2 linked regions of the Tamandua tetradactyla genome follow. The main gene of each other region encodes a partner of the protein of the gene in region 2 in a complex. Links are inferred from orthologs where the notes say so. Each region holds a gene or a part of one and is shown on either strand. Other genes may lie near its edges.

The links.
Region 1: LRP5 (region 2) and FZD8 share a complex: the UniProt entries of both Homo sapiens proteins name them as parts of the wnt-signaling complex. The link is inferred for Tamandua tetradactyla from reciprocal best matches to the Homo sapiens genes LRP5 and FZD8.

What each region holds. Positions count from the first base shown.
Region 1 is NC_135327.1:215,597,207-215,604,946, reverse strand, and holds the start of FZD8 (frizzled-8), read right to left. Parts: upstream 3,030-7,740; 5' UTR 2,017-3,029; coding exon 1-2,016. UniProt on the Homo sapiens protein: Receptor for Wnt proteins. Component of the Wnt-Fzd-LRP5-LRP6 complex that triggers beta-catenin signaling through inducing aggregation of receptor-ligand complexes into ribosome-sized signalosomes.
Region 2 is NC_135335.1:6,236,190-6,244,284, forward strand, and holds the start of LRP5 (low-density lipoprotein receptor-related protein 5), read right to left. Parts: upstream 3,001-8,095; 5' UTR 2,955-3,000; coding exon 2,885-2,954; intron 1-2,884. UniProt on the Homo sapiens protein: Acts as a coreceptor with members of the frizzled family of seven-transmembrane spanning receptors to transduce signal by Wnt proteins.

The DNA.
Region 1 (7,740 bases), on a different chromosome or scaffold from region 2:
GGCAGTGCCAGACCTCCACGTCAGGCCGGTGCTGACGTCGCTGTAGAGGGAACCCCCGCCCCCGCCGGGCCCCGCGCCGCCACCCCCAGCCCCGCCGGCTCCCCCCACGGTCGCGGAGCCCGAGCCCCCGCCCGCCGCGGCGCCCTTGCTGGCCCAGCAGCAGCGTGTGCACAGGGCGCGCCAGGACTCGAGCGTCTTGCCGGACCAGACCCACACGCCCGAGGTGATGCCCACCACCAGGCACATGAAGTACTTGAGCATGAAGACGGCGTAGTCGGGCCGGCGGGCCTGGTCGGGCTGCAGGTCCCGCAGGCAGGGGCAGTTGTGCGTGGCCTCCCAGCGCGGGCGGTTGTGCTGCTCGTAGAAGAGGCAGGCGACCACGACGGCGGCGGGCACGGTGTAGAGCACGGTGAAGAGGCCCAGGCGGATCATGAGCTTCTCCAGCTTGTGCGTCTTGGTGGGGCCGCCCTGCTGCTTGATGACCGAGCGGATGCGGAAGAGCGACACGAAGCCCGCCAGCAGGAACATGGTGCCGATGAAGAGGTAGATGACCAGGGGCGCCAGCACGAAGCCGCGCAGGTTGTCGAGGCTCTGGTTGCCCACGTAGCAGATGCCCGCCACAGGGTCGCCGTCCACCGAGCTGAGCGCCAGCACGGCGATGGACTTGACGCTGGGCACGAGCCACGCGGCCAGGTGGAAGTACTGCGAGTAGCCGGCGATGGCCTCGTTGCCCCACTTCATGCCGGCCGCCAGGAACCACGTGAGCGACAGGATCACCCACCAGATGGAGCTGGCCATGCCGAAGAAGTAGACCAGCAGGAAGACCACGGTGCACAGCGCCGGGCCGGTGGTCTCGTAGCGCACGTGCTGCTCCACGGCGCCCAGCTCCTCGTACTCGCTGCGCCCTCCCGGGCCGCCCGCGCCCGCGCCCGCCGCCCCGGCGCCCGCCGCCGCACTGCCCGCGGCCCCCGCCGCCCCCGGCCCGGGCGCGCCGCCGCTGCACGCCACCTTCTCGTGGCCCGCCACCAGGCGCACCAGGTAGCCGACCGACACGAAGAGGTAGCAGGCCGAGAGAAAGATGATGGGCCGCTCGGGGTACTTGAAGCGCTCCATGTCGATGAGGAAGGTGGAGACGGTGGCGAAAGTGGAGACGAAGCAGAGCACCGACCACAGGCCGATCCAGAAGACGGTGAAGGCGCGCTCGTCCTGGCTGAAGAAGGGGTTGTGGCAGGGCAGCGCGCAGTTGGCGATCTGGCCCGTCTTGACGCGGTTGTACAGCGGGTGCCGCTCGCTGGCCACGCTCACCATGGGCGCGCGGCACTGGCAGCCCGGCTCGCAGGGCGCCGCGCCGCCGCCAGAGGGCCGCGCCTTCCCGCCGCCGCGCGCTGGGGGCGCCGCCGTGTCCCCGCCGCCGCTCTTGCCGCCGCCGCGGTGCGGGGGCCTGGCCCCTGGAGGGCGGCTGTGGCCGCTGCCCGAAGGCGGCTGCTCGCCGGGCAGCGGCGGGGGCGGCGGCGGGTGGCGGCGCGGCGGGCTGGGCGCGGCCGTGGTGAGGTCGGTGCGGTTGTAGTCCATGCACAGTGTGTCCGGGTTGCCCTGCTCCGGCAGCCGGTCGCAGCGCATGCGGTCGGGCCAGGCGAAGCCGTACTGGCGCATGAGAGGCGCGCAGCCGGCCTTGGCGCGCTCGCACACCGAGCGGCAGGGCGGCAGCGGCTTCTTGTAGTCTTCCAGGCAGATGGGCGTGTACATGCTGCACAGGAAGAACTTGAGGTCGGGCGAGCACTGGATCTCCACCAGCGGCCAGAACTGGTGCACCTCCAGGCCCGCTTCGTCCTGCGTGTCGTGGTTGAACTGGTTGGGCATGTAGGTGTAGTTGTAGCCGATGCCCTTGCACAGGGGCACGGTTATCTCCTGGCACGCCAGCTCCTTGGCCGAGGCAGCCGCCGCGCCGCTCGAGCGCTGCAGCAGCGCGAAGGCGGCCAGCAGCGAGGTCACTTCCAACAGGTAACTCCACTCCATGCTGGGAGCCTCAGCCCCGTGCGCCACCGCACCCTCGGCCTTCCACGCGGCGCGCGTCCCGGGACCCCGGCCTGGAAGCGCGAGGAGGAGGCGCCGGAGAGCCCGGAGCCCAGAAAAGGGCGAGGAAGGGGCCGAGGTGTCCGCGGCCGCTGGGTTTTGTGGCCTCGTCCCTGCCTCTCCTGGGAAGGGAGCAGCCCGAAACCGGAGCCCCTTCTCCCGGAAGGCTTGGCAGGAATCAGTCCAGGCCTCCCTTCCGCTGCCCGGCGGGTCTCTCCGGGGAGCCGGTGACCTAGCGCCGCGCCGCGCTCCCCCTCCTCGGCTCGCGCAGCGGTCCGGAGGAAACGAGGGGGTGAGCTGCGGGTGAGCGCGACAGTCCCCTCGGGTCTTCCCCCTGCTGATTTGGGTCGGGCTTCAGCTCGCGTGGAGACTTGCTGGCTCCAGGCTCATCTTCCTGCGCTGGCTCTGTCCCTCTCCCTCCGCGCCGCCGCCACTTTTCCGCCACGGCTCCCGGGCTGCCGGCGACTTTGCAGAGCACGGAAGGTGGCGGGGCAGCAAGTTTCCTCTCCGGCCCCCGCGACGCGGAGTCAAGATGGCTGAGCCAGGCCAACTCCCCGCGCCCGGGGTCAGCCGCTCCAGCCCCCTCTCCTCCCCAGGGGGCACATGCCCGCTCTTCAGCCGCGTCCCGCCGGTCCTCGAGGTCCGCCGGGGCCTCCGCGTCCGCCCGGACAGCTGCCTTCTTCTCCCCGGCGTCCGTCAGTCTGTCCGCACGCCGGGACAGACGAATCCCCGCCTCCGGGTAAAAGTCCGCGCCGCACTACAGCCAGGAATCGGGCGAGTTGCAGGCAGTCCCCTTCTCGCCAGGAAAACCAAAACCCAAATCCAGACAAGAAGGCGAAGCGAAGACACCTGAACTGAGCAGTCCTGCGCCCGAGCCGCCGCCACCACAGCCGCCGCCGCCGCCACCGCCACCTCCTCGGCGGGAGCAGTGCCCTTTGCCCAACTTCCCAGTCTCCGGCCCCCGCTCGCGCCGAGCTGCCGGGCTCATGAATATTTATACAGCGCGAACTCGGTCCCCGCCCCCGGCTCCGCCAGCCAATCGTCGGGCGGTGGGGGCGGGGTCTACGAGCTCCCAAGGCTAAACCTTCCTTAAGGCCGTCTGGACTGTCTGGCCTGAAATGTGCGCTTTCTGGCGACGGAGACTTGGTTTTGATAACCTTGGGATTGACCGGAGAAGCGGACATTCAGAGCGGCCTCCCTGGGGGCCCGCGCCCCGCCCTGGCTGGCCTTGGCTCCGAGTTGTCACGATCGCCCCACACGGTGCTCGGTGTGTCTGAGCTTTTGGTCCCTTTTCCCCGATTCTGCACTTTGGAGACTAGGAGGTGATTTGATGCAGCGCGCGCCTCCCCGGGCCAGTTTCAAACTAGTCAATCCTGTCCCCCTCGGTCCTGCCCTAAGTGTGGGGTGACATGTCGGGGGCCAGGGTTCCTACCTCCTCCGAGCCAGGGTTGGCGAGAAGCCGCGCTGCGGGTGGTGCCCGGAGGCTTCGGGGCAGCGGGGTGCGCCCTGGGGACTGCGCCTTTGAGGATCTGGAAAGGGAAGCCCATTGGGGGTGTGTGTGTCAGAAATTGGTCTTTGGAGCCGGGGGCTAAGGGGGGAGTTGAGCAACCGCAGTCCGTTCTGCCTGGTGGAGCTGGACGGAGGAGGTGACCAGCACCCCAACCGCGAGGGGCGGCCCACAGCGCGGGACACAGGGTCTGCCTCCGGGGTGCGCAAAACCCTGGGGAAGGCATTAACATTTCAGAACCTCAGTCTCGTTTCCTGTAAAATGGGGGTAACCATAGGACTGCTCCCAGAGGAGATTCCGATAATCACATGATGTCGATAAAACACATAAAGCGTCCAGGTTATGTTTTGTTCTTATGAAAAATAATTCCTTTTCTTCCTAAAAAGAAAACAAAAAGAAAACGTGTAAATAGGTCGGGCTATTAAACTCTGCCACTGGGTTCTTTCCTTCGGTCTCCTACTTTGGGAACGTACATGCGCCCAATCCAAAGTTCGTCGTTTTTGCCCAAGCCTCCTTTTCTGCCGCCCCAGGCAACTCAAGGCGCTTCCGAGGCGGGGCTGCGCCGAGACGCGAACCCGCGGACACGTATCCGCGATTGTCACCGAGCCGGGAGCGCGACAGAGCAGCTTTTAGTTGCCACTAACGCCGCCTCCAATTAGCGCTGCCCCAGCCAACTCCGCCAACCACCTTAAGATGGGTTGCGGGGGGAGTGCGGGGTGCGGAGGGGCGGGCGGCCTGGCAGGTTCATTTACGCTTGTTAGGACGTCCCAGGGGGTTGTCTTTCTCCTAGAATGGAGTGTTTATTTTTAATTGATGTGCTGTTTCATTTAGCGCTTGTATGGAACTCACGCTGGGGTTGTAATTACTGTAATCTCGGGAACAAGCATTTCGGTTAGCCAGGAGGGTGGCAAAATACCTTCTCTCTCGGTCTCTCTGTTTCTCTCTCTTTCTGTTTCTAAATTTTTGCTATTTGTCAGATTTCATACCAGGAGCTAGTCGGGCTAGAGGACACGAGTTCTGGAGGGTGGAGGGACCGAGAATTATTAAAGGTGTGTTTGAGGCCAGTTCAGGTTTTGTGGAGGGGGTTTGGTGGTGCTTAGCCGTTTACCTGTTTAAAACAAACTCTTGTCACAAACAAACAAAAATAACTGGCAACATTTGTGTGCTGCTTAAACTAATGGAATCTCGGTTTCCTCCTGTTTTCTCTGGCTTGGTTTTCCCACCTAATTATGCACCTCATTTTAAGTAGACAGGCAACGCCCCCCCTCTTTTTTTTTTGGCAAGTTCTGTGTTTTTCGCCAAGAATTCTAGGCATATCCATCCACCAGACGATCAGAATATAGCTATACCTCAACATCTTCATTTTATTATTAATTGAACCTCTTATACTAAAAAACACTTCCTTCCCACTTTTGTTTTGGACAAACTCAACTCCTTAGGAATCAGAATTCAAACGCTTGTGAAATTTTAGCTGATTCAGTAGAAGAAAATGGATTCATGCAAACGCGCGACCTTTTTTTTCCCGCCCCCCCCCCGCCCCGCCCCAACTGTATTCCCATTTGTGGCATGAGGAATTTAGATAGTCACCTATCTTTTGTGTGGGTACCTTGTTCAAAGAGGCCAGTCTCGGGAACATTCGGCTACCGGGTAACAAGTTATTCCCGGAGTTAGATTTCTGAGTTGAGCTAAAGAAGTGAGGGCAAAGCATCCTTTCAAACACCAGCCTGGGGCGGGCAATGGTGGCTCAGTGGCAGCATTCTCGCCTGCCATGCTGGAGACGCGGGTTCGTGTTCCTGGAGCCTGCCCATGCCAAAAAAAAAAAAAAAAAAAAAAAAAAAAAAACCAGCCTGGACGCTGCACTGCCCAGACTACAGATGGGAGGTGCTAGTTTCCAAAAACAGCACAGATGTTGAAAAGTTTCTACTGCTTTTCTTACGCCTGGAAATGTAGAATACTGAAGTTTAGAATTACACCCTATAAACGTACTAAAATTAGATAAAAACAAATGTCGACAGTTGAAAATAGTTGACTTTGGCTGTTAATTGGCATTTAAAATTTTCTTGCTTTTTAATTTTGAGACAAGATGAAACCTTTGATGATGTGGAATGGGAAAATATTTGGTAAGTAAATTAAGCCTGCAGGAAAACATTAATGGAAAAAAGTTCTGCACTTTCAAAAATCATGCTATAAGCTATTTGGGGGATCTTACTGATTTGTGAGATTAAATCTATTTACATATAAATCATGAAAATTTACTTTTAATTCAGAAAATATAAAAATAGCATTCTAAATTTGCTATTAAATAACCACTTGGCCATCATTCAGAGCAGGACAGAGAGACTTATGAAGCCAATTAGTGTATAAAAGGCAATTATAGGCAAGTTAAAAGGAGCCTGAATAATTTATTAAGATTGGGGGCTAAATAATGATATTTTTCTTTTGTATGTAAAGCAGCTGTTTTTTAGGGGAGGGGAAATAGCTTTAATAGACATAAATAATGTAAGATGGTTCCTAGAGGGATTTCTGAACAGATGTCTTGCTACTAAGTAGCCTACAAACATAATAATATAAACAGTTGAAAGCAAGAATCTACTTTGGAGGAGGGTAATGTATTATAAAACACTGGACCAAATATGATAGGAGGCCATTAATACTGTACATCTCAAGTTGAAGAAATTCATTTTTAGTGAATTCTAGTTTAAAAACCCAATATAAAAATCTCTGTAAAAGAGAGGGCCTATCATATACCAATAAAATAATATGTTACAAAAATTAAATGGAGAGTTCTTTAGTAACTAATGAAATTCCTCAAATGTTATAAAAAATAACTAATCATTTCTCATAAAAGCTTTTTTTTCTTTCAGGGAAACACTCAAGCATTATTTTTTTATTAGAGAATGTCAAATTCTATCAGACAATATTGGGATATCATGGCTTTTTAAATGCATCTTTGGAAGGATTGAGTCTTGATTGACCACCCTATAGGTGGAAGGGAAGTTAGAGTCTTGCTTCAATATCTAGAATTAAAATGGGAATCAGAGTTCTCATTTTACATGCAGTTACCAAAATGGTAACTGCACTGGCTGTCATTATTTCACTTTCTAATTATCCTAAAATATGTTTTCAAAATCAGGAATAGATTAAAAAAAATATTCACACTGGATTATTGACCAGATGCTGAAACTCGTGTGACAAAGGATGTATTGTGCATTAGTATGGGAGCTTTCAGGTGCAAGGACACTTAATTAATCTCATATGACTAAAAAAAAATCTGCAGTAGGAAGGGCCACGAGATTCAATGAGCTCCCTGTCCGCTTTGGCTTCTGCTTCTCGGTCAGTCTCTTGTCTTTCTCCTTGGTTGCATGGCCTGAGACAGTGAATCACCACATTGCATGGGACAGCAACTAAGAGAGGAAGAGTGTGGGACCTCCCTGGAGGCTGCTATCCTCCCGCTAGATGGGAAAACTTTCCCAGAAGGCCCTGGGCTGACTTCCCCTAATGCCTGGTTGGGCTGCACCTGCCACGTGGCCAGCCTGGGCCGCAGGGGGGCTGTGAAGGCCCGTACCCTCCTACCTGGTGGGCGGCTGGTGACAGACAAAGAAGCCTTCCAGTGTGCTTTGTCCAAGGTTATAAATTAAGTATGACCTACATTAAACACACACTCACACAGCAACCCCCAAACCTCCTGATATCTACACTGTCCCCTTTGATTCACAGAACACAGTTCTTGGTACAGTTAATGTGCAATAAATGTCAAGCAGTTTAGTGCTTGTTTTATTTATAATATGTATGGATTGTTTTAGTCTGGGTTCTCTAGAGAAACAGAACCAATGGGAGATACCGGTAAATATGAGATTTATAAAAGTATCTCACACAAACTGTGGGGATGCAAGAGTCCAAAATCCATAGGGCAGGCTGCAAGGCTGGCAAGTCTGATGAAGTTTCTCGACAAACTCCACAGGAGAGTGGAGAAGTGGTTGGCTGAAGAAGAAGTGAAAATTCTGTCTTCTCCCTTGAACTGTCTTCGACTGATGGAATTAAATCCGACTGACTGGATTTCCTCCTTGCAGAAGACACACCGTTAGTTGATCGTAGCTGTAATCAGCTGGCTGAAGATTTAATAAACCAGCCTTCTGGCTTATTGACCAGCCAGGAAATAT
Region 2 (8,095 bases):
GGCAAATGGCAGAGCTGGGAGCATAGCCTGGTGCTTGGCCCGTTCAGATAACTACCCGGTGACATGTGGCCCAGTGCCACGGTGGGCCGCGACGGCCTGGTAACGGTTATGGAACAAACGAATCAGTCAGCAGTCAGGATAACCAAGGTCATGAAGAAAACTCCAGATTATGCAATAACAGCCTCCCAGTCTTTCAAGCCAGAAAGATCAAGGACCCCTGCTACACCCCCAGTTCTTCACCCAGGCTTGGGGTGGTGCTAAGGGAGCCCAACATTTAATGCTTCCTGAGAGAGAAGAGGGTCCAAGAAAGCACCAAGACACGAAGATGCTAAGGAGTGCACCCAAGCCAAAGGGTCACACGGCAGCACACCTGGCAGGTAAACCCAGGTTGGTCTGACCCCAAAATCCTCACAGCCCTGGTTAGAGCCCACCCAGCCAGCCCTCCACCTCTGGCTCCAGTGTGTGCACCCTGCTGGGTGCCCGGGCAGTGAGCCAGTGCGGCTGAAATTAAATCAGTTCCCCAAATGATGGGGGACCTCAGAAGGAAGCACTCACGAATGCTGAGTAGGCTGGGTCATCCCTTGGATTTGGGAATGGGAGGGTTAGGGCCTATGGGTCCTGCTTGAAAAATTCAGAGAGGACCCACTCAGCATCTAACTGAAGTCTGCTGGGGCCTTACAGTGGGCCAGGCAATGTGCTTGACACACACACACACACACACACACACACACACACACACACACATGCACACACACATACCACCTCTGCAGACCCTCAGGGAGCATCAGACCCTTGGGGAGTATCAGACCATCAGGGAGCATCTGCACCTGCAGGAACCAGCCTGCAGGAACCTGCAGATTCTAGAAGGCCTGCTGCAAGGCTGGCCAGAGGCCTGGGGCAACTCAGCTGGGGACCCTAGCACAAAGGTATTTCCGTGGCCTCAAGCTTCAAATTGCAACAGGAAGCAATCAGGAAAAATAATTAACTACTGATCTACTGGCTTCACCCCAGATGGAGCCATATAGCTAATGTGGAAAATCAGGGACATGACATATCAAGGACAGACAAGAAAGTTCTACATAAGGATTTCACCTCTTTCTTCTTTTTTTTTCCCCCTTTCACTTTAGGACGGGACCATCACATTCTGGGACTCTAAATGCCTCTTACGAACATGCTTCCTAGTACTAAAATAACCCACCCTCTTTGTGCAGCAGACACAACTAAACACCACAGGTGGAGCTCCTTTTCTTTAGGGGTTCGAGTCATACGGAGCAACAGGCATTCGTGTCCAGTAAGGTCACCCCGAAAGGAACAGGAAATCCAAAACTGCAATGAAGTGAAGAGCACCCGAGGCAGCTTTAAAAAAAAAAAAAAACCCTTTAAAACAAACGTCTTCCCCCCAAACCCCTTTTGCCTTCACAATCCAGGCATTTCCGGGAAAAAAGGCTCAGCTTCGGCCTGCATTATCCAGATTCTGTCATTGTTTTGTCTTCACCTTGTTTTGCAAGGAGTAGAAGACATGGCTGAAAAATGTAAACTGGCTCCGTTCCAGAGAGAGATAAACTTGGGGTGAAAGCGCTGATAAGCCAGGAGAACCTGCAGCGGGGATCCCTGAGCTTTCTCCCTTACTACTGGGTGCTTTTCAAACCTCAACGGAGGGGCTGCAGCGTCAGGAATCCAACCCACAAAGCCAGCCAGGAAACCTCCCTGCAAATGTCCACTCTGGAAATATTCAGGAGACAGCTGTTTGCTTTAAGGAAGCCCAGACAAAAGGGACCTGGGCCCCATCCCCCCCCCACCCCGAAACTGCCACCAAAAGAGGGGCCCTGGATGCTCGCAGTGCTGGCTGGCCCATGCCCAGTCTGGCAAGCCTCAATCAAGAAAACCAAAACACGTACCTCTGAAGAGAAGGACAGAGGTAGCAGGGGACCTGCTAGGAGCACCACATGGCAATCTCCAAACTCAAAAAACATGTGCGGCACCTCACAGGGTGCCTTGGTTCCCTGAGTCCTCCTCACCTCAACTCCACCCCTCCGGCCGCACCAAAAAGTTGGAGAGAAAGTTCGACAGCCCTCGACTGCCCAAAGGCTGTGGAAACTGAGTCACAGGCACACTTCCTCCCCCCCCAACACGCCCCAACAAAGCCATGCGCTGGGACCACGACACCGGTCACGACGGGTCCCCCGCTGCGGCCCAGGCCCCTGTCTGCAGCCCCAGCGGCCGGATGGGTGGCTCGGGTGGCCGGGACACCTGGCAGGTGTCAGTCTTTGGGGAACGACAGCCAGGCAGATACAAAGGGGACAGAGCAACAGGACAGGACGCGCCGCGCCCGGTCTCCCAACTTTCTCGCGGCTCCCGGAGCTCGCAGGGCGGCCGCGCGGCCAGGGGAGGCAGGCTCGCAGGGAGAGTCCCGACCCAGGGCGGCCAGGCCTGTCCCTGGGCCGAAAGGCTCCGCTCTGCCCTGCGGGCCCCGGCTCCGCCACCGGCCAAGGGCGGCCGCGGCCACTGCCCGGCCCCGTCCCCGGGAGCCCTGCCGAGCGCGCCCCGGGGCCCGCGCCCCGCGTCGGGGCAGGTGAGGACCCGCCCGCGCGCACCTGGCGGGGTCGGCGCCGCCCGCGCGCCCGGCTCGTGGGCCCCGGGTCGGCCCCGGGAAGGGCCCGGGCGGGGAGACAAAGGGCCCGCGCGCGGCCCCCGGGCGGCGGGGAGCGGCGGGGAGCGACGGGGAGCCCCCGCGCCGCGCGCCCCAACTCGTCCCCAACTTGCAAAGTCGCTTCCGCGGCGGCGCCGCGCACTTGGCCGCGAGGCCGCCCGGAACCCCCGGGGGGGGGTGGCACGGACCCGGGTCCCGCGCCGCCCGCCCCCGCCCCCGCCGGCGCCCACCTACCCGCGGCGGGAGCCAGGCTGCAGCAGAGCGCGAGCAGCAGCAGCAGCAGCCGGGGCGCCGCCGCCTCCATGTTGTCCGGCGGCCGGACGGGCCCGCGCCGCGCTCACTCGGGCTCCATGGCGCGGCGGCGGCGGCGGCGGCGGCTCCTCGCGCGGCTCCCGGCGCCTCCCGCCTCCCCCCCTCGGGCGCCGCCGACCAGGACGAGGAGGAGGGGGGAGAGGAGGGGGGAGGGCGCGCGGGAGCGGAAGCCGCGCCGCGTCTCCGCCCCCCGCCGCCCGCCCCCCCCCTCCGCGCGCCCCCCGCGCCGGCCGCGCCCTCCCGCGGGCGCCCCCCGGAGCCGGCAGGCTGGCGGCGAGACGGGCGCTGCGGCCCCCGCCCTGTGGCCCCGATTCTCGTGGTGGGGGGGAGGGGAGGTGTAGCGGGGAGGGGGGAGCGGAGGCCCTAACTGCCAAATGCAGCCCCTGCCCGGGGCTGGGGTCCCGTGCTGGTTTTCACTCCACGGGGGCGGGCAGGCTGATCAAGTTCTGGAAACAGGTGTGCCACCTGTGGAGCTACAAGGACTCCCCCGCCTTTTACAGATGGGGAAACTGAGGCACGGGGGCTGGGAGATTGCCCAAGGGCACACAGCAAGGCAGTGACAGGACTGGATGCCAGGGAGCCGCAGCCGCCCCCTGCAGGGGCCCATCGCAGCCCAGGCCTCCCTTGACACCTGTTCTCACTTCTGAGGGCGCCTGGGAGGGCAGAGAATGGCGACCAGGAGTTGTGAGGGCAGGGACAGATGTGCAGTATAGAGAAGCATGAGCTGTAAGGGTGGGACTGAGGGTGGGCTTGAGGTTTTAGTTTTACGCTAATTTTGTGCTCGCTGCATTCATTCTGGCATACGAACTGACAATAAAGCTGCTCTCCAGGGGATACTACGCTGGCCAAGCCTGCAAGTCCTGATATCTCAGACCTCAGGAGTTCCCTCACCTCTGACTCACCCAAAAGCGGTCACTGAGGTCCCACAGTGCACCCCATGGAATTAAGCTGCGCCCGGGAGGAGGAGCTGGGAAGGGAGAACCTTGCTGGGGAGAGAGGGGAAGGGGGACAGAGAGGCTCTGGAACCCATTGGTCCCAGTTCAAACTCCGGGTCTGCTGTTGAGCTCCTGGGCAAGTGCAAACTCTCCAGGCCTCTTTCCCCTTCATAAAATGGTGATAACACCCCCTTGCACAGCCCGGAGGAGGTTAGGGATAATACAGTATCATGGCCTCATGTGTTTGTGACAACTTTGTAAGGTTAGTGGTCAGGCAGAATACCTTGGCCCTCCTTGGGTTTATATCCTAGTGAGAGAGCTAAGCAAACCAAACAAATAAATAAAAATTTTAAAAAACCACCATTACAGACCAATGTGAAAGTGGGGAGTGTTGGACATGTCTGGGGGGAATACTGAGGGAAGTGGGGAAGGTTCTATTCTCCAAGGAGGCTATATTTGAGCCAACTGTAGGAGCAGCTGCTCTGCAGGGAGAGTAGTTCAGGCAGAGAAAAGGAAACAAGGGCCTGGGAGCAGGGGCCAGCTTGGCTGCTGGATTTTTGGGTGGAACTGCAAAAGGCCAGCATGATAGAGGCTAGAGGTGGGTGTGGGAGGAGGGCAGACAGAAGGAGGTGTGAGATGGAAGGAGATTTGGGGTGACAGGAGGCAAATGGGATAGTAGGAGAGGCCAACTACAGCCAACACATATCAGACTGGGAAAAGGAGTCAAGAACTTATCTGAAGAGTGATGGGAAACCATTATGGGGATTTAAGGAGCAAAAATCCTTGCTGATTCCTCTACTCTCTCTTACTCGATGCCCAGGCCTAGCAGCACACCCTGTCTACTCGTCTCCCACCTCTGTGGCCACCAGCCTGGGCCCTCACCTCTCATCCTCTGCCAGGTCTCCTGTATCTGGCCTTAACTCCCTTCTGCCTAATCTCACAGCAGCCAGAGTGAACCTATTAAAACATTAAATCAGATCACATCTTCCTCTGCTGAAGATCCTGCTGTGCTTTTCATCCTAGGCCAGTGTTTTTAAACCTTCAATCGTTAATGTATTACTATCATGATTTGGGTAGTTATTTCTTTTTAAAAATCAGTTCACTTTTAAACACATCAGTGCCTACTTCAGCATGATTTTAAGCAAGAACCCCCTTGGGGGTGTACCTCTACCTGGCATCATGGGACATGACTCCCAGGATTAAGCCTGGCCCTGGTATCGTGGGACTGACAAAACTGCCATGACCAAAAGGGGGAAAAGAGATGGGACAAATAAAATCTTCAGTGACTAAGAGATTTCAAAGGACATTGAGAGGTCAGTCTGGAGGTTATTCTTATGCATTATATAGAAATTCCTTTTTAGTTTCTGGTGTGTTAGAATGACTAAAAGGAAATAACAAACTGTTGAACTGTAATCCAGTAGCCTTGATTCTTGATGATGATTGTATAACTATATAACATTTGTAGTGTGACCATATGATTGTAAAAAACCTTGTGACTAACGTTCTCTTTATCCAGTGTATGGGCAAGAGAGTAACAAAATAAACACAAAAAATAAACAAGTAATAGGGAATGTCCTAGTTTGCTTGCTGCTGGAATGCAATATACCAGAAATGAAATGCTTTCTAAAAGGGAAATTTAATAAGTTGCTAGTTTATAGTTCTAAGGCTGTGAAATTGTCCAAGTTAAAACAAGTCTATAGAAATGTCCAATCTAAGGCATCCTGGGAAAGATAACCTTGGTTCCAGAAGGCTGGTGAAGTTCAGGGTTTCTCTCTCTCTCAGCTGGAAGGACAAGTGGCAAACATGGTGGCGTCTGCTAGCTTTCCCTCCAGGCCTCTTGCTTCATGAAGCTCCCCGGGAGGTGTTTTCCTTCTTCATCTCCAAAGGTCACTGGCTGGTGGACTCTGGGGTTCTCTCGTCCCGTCGTGGTTCTACAGCTCTCTCCTTGTTCTCAAAGGGAACGCTCTCCAAAATGTCTCCTCTTTTATAGGATTCCAGTAAACTAATCAAGACCCATGTAGAACTGTCAGTGGTGCAAGACCCTTTGCACCACTGACGGTCTGACACACTAAACATTTTCTTATCAGGATCTCCTGTGCCTGGACCAGGAGCCAGCACATGGCCAATGCTCGATACGTGTGTGTTGAATAAATGAATGAAGTTCATTCTAGTGCTAATCAAGTTTACTACACACAATTGATTGAGTCACGTCTCCATGGAGATAACCTAATCAAGTTTCCAACCTATAGTTTTGAATCATGATTAGAAGAAACCGTTGCTCCCACAAGATGGATTGGAACTAAAACATGGCTTTTCTAGGGTACATAAATCCTTTCAAACTGGCACAGGGAGGATTGGGAATGTGGGATGTTTTGGGTGTTCTTAATTTATTTTTATTTTTAACTTTTGGAGTAGTGCGAATGTCCCAACATTGATTGTGGTGATGTATGCACAACTAAATGATGATACTGTGAGCCACTGACTGTATACTTTGGATGATTATATGGTATGTGAATATATCTCAATAAAACGGCATTTGAAAAAGAAGGGGAAAAGAAAAGATCCTGCTATGTCTCTCATCTCAGTCAAGATAGACGCTAAGGTCGCAGGGCACTTACAGAGCCTGATCTGGCAGCACCCACCCTTCTACCTCTCCAGCCTCGTTACTGAGCACCCCTTCCTTCCCTCACCCTGTCCCAGCCACAGTGGCCCACTCGCCGGCCCTCAGACACTGGCCCTTCACGGCCACCACAGGACCTTGGCTTGCTGTCCTTGCTGCCTGGAACTCTTATCCCAGATATCCACGTGACTCACTCTTCCCTGACCCCTGCTCCAATTTTCAGCTTTCCTTTCCTCCTTTGCACCACTGACAGTCTGACACACTAAATGTTTGCTTATCGGGATTTCCTGTGCCTGGACCAGGACCCAGCACATGGCCAATGCTCAATACATGTGTGTTGAATAAATGAATGAAGTGAAAAGATCTGATTTACATTTATGGAAGGACCACTCTGGCTGCTGGATGGGGGGCAGGACTGTGGGAGAGACAGGAAGGGGTAGCCAGGAGGTTGGTCAGCAGGCAGGTATAATGTTAGCAGCCAGGAAAGGCAGAGGCTTGGATGTGGGGTGGAGGTGGGGGTGTGAGGATGGCTCAAAGATGGTGAGGAGGAACTGGATGCCGGATGCCCTTAGGATAAGCTGAAGGTGTCAGCTGTGGGCATGAAGGAGAGGGGAGCTCAGGATGGCTCAGCTAGTTGTAGCATTTTACACTAGCTGGTCCAAAGAAGAGATCAAGGTTTTAAATCTGAAGGACTCCAAAGAAGCTGAAAAACCTAAACTCAGTTGCAGAAATGATTAAGAAAAAAATGAACTGTTCTAGTTTTTTAGCTGCCAGAATGCAATATACCAGAAATGGAATGGCTTTTTAAAAAAGGGAATTTAATAAGTTGCTAGTTTACATACAGTTCTAAGGCTGAGTAAATGTCCCAATTAAAACAAGTCTATAGAAATGTCCAATCAAAGGCATCCAGGGAAAGATACTTTGGTTCAAGAAGGCCAATGAAGTTCAGGGTTTCTCTTTCAAGTGAGAAGGCACATGGCGAACACAGGGTTTCTAGCCCTTCAGCTGGAAGGGTACATGGCGAGCATGATGTCATCTGCTAGCTTTCTCTCCTGGCTTCCTGTTTCACGAAGCTCCCTGGGAGGAGTTTTCCTTCTTCATCTCCAAAGGTCACTGGTTGGTGGACTCTCTGCTTCTCATGGCTATATCATTTTTCTCTGTTCTCTCTGAATCTCTTGGTCAGTAAAACCAATCAAGACCCACCTGGAATGGGTGGAGACACGTCTCCACCTAATCAGGTTTAAGACCCACTCTTGATTAAGTCACATCCTCATGGAGATAAGCTAATTAAAGTTTCCAACATACAGTATTGAATAGGGATTAGAATTTGTGCTGCCTTTACAAAATGGGATTAGGATTAAAACATGGCATTTCTAGGATACATGCATCCTTTTAAACCGCTCATGAGCCAAGAATGTAAACAAACAAAAAAAGGCTTTAGAATAAATGCGTTCTAAACTCGATCATGGGGTTGTATGCACAACTAAGTGACGATACTATAATTGGGTACAGTTATCCACGGCCAGTGATTTTGTACTTCAGATGGTTTGTTTGGTGTGTGAATACATCTCAATAAAA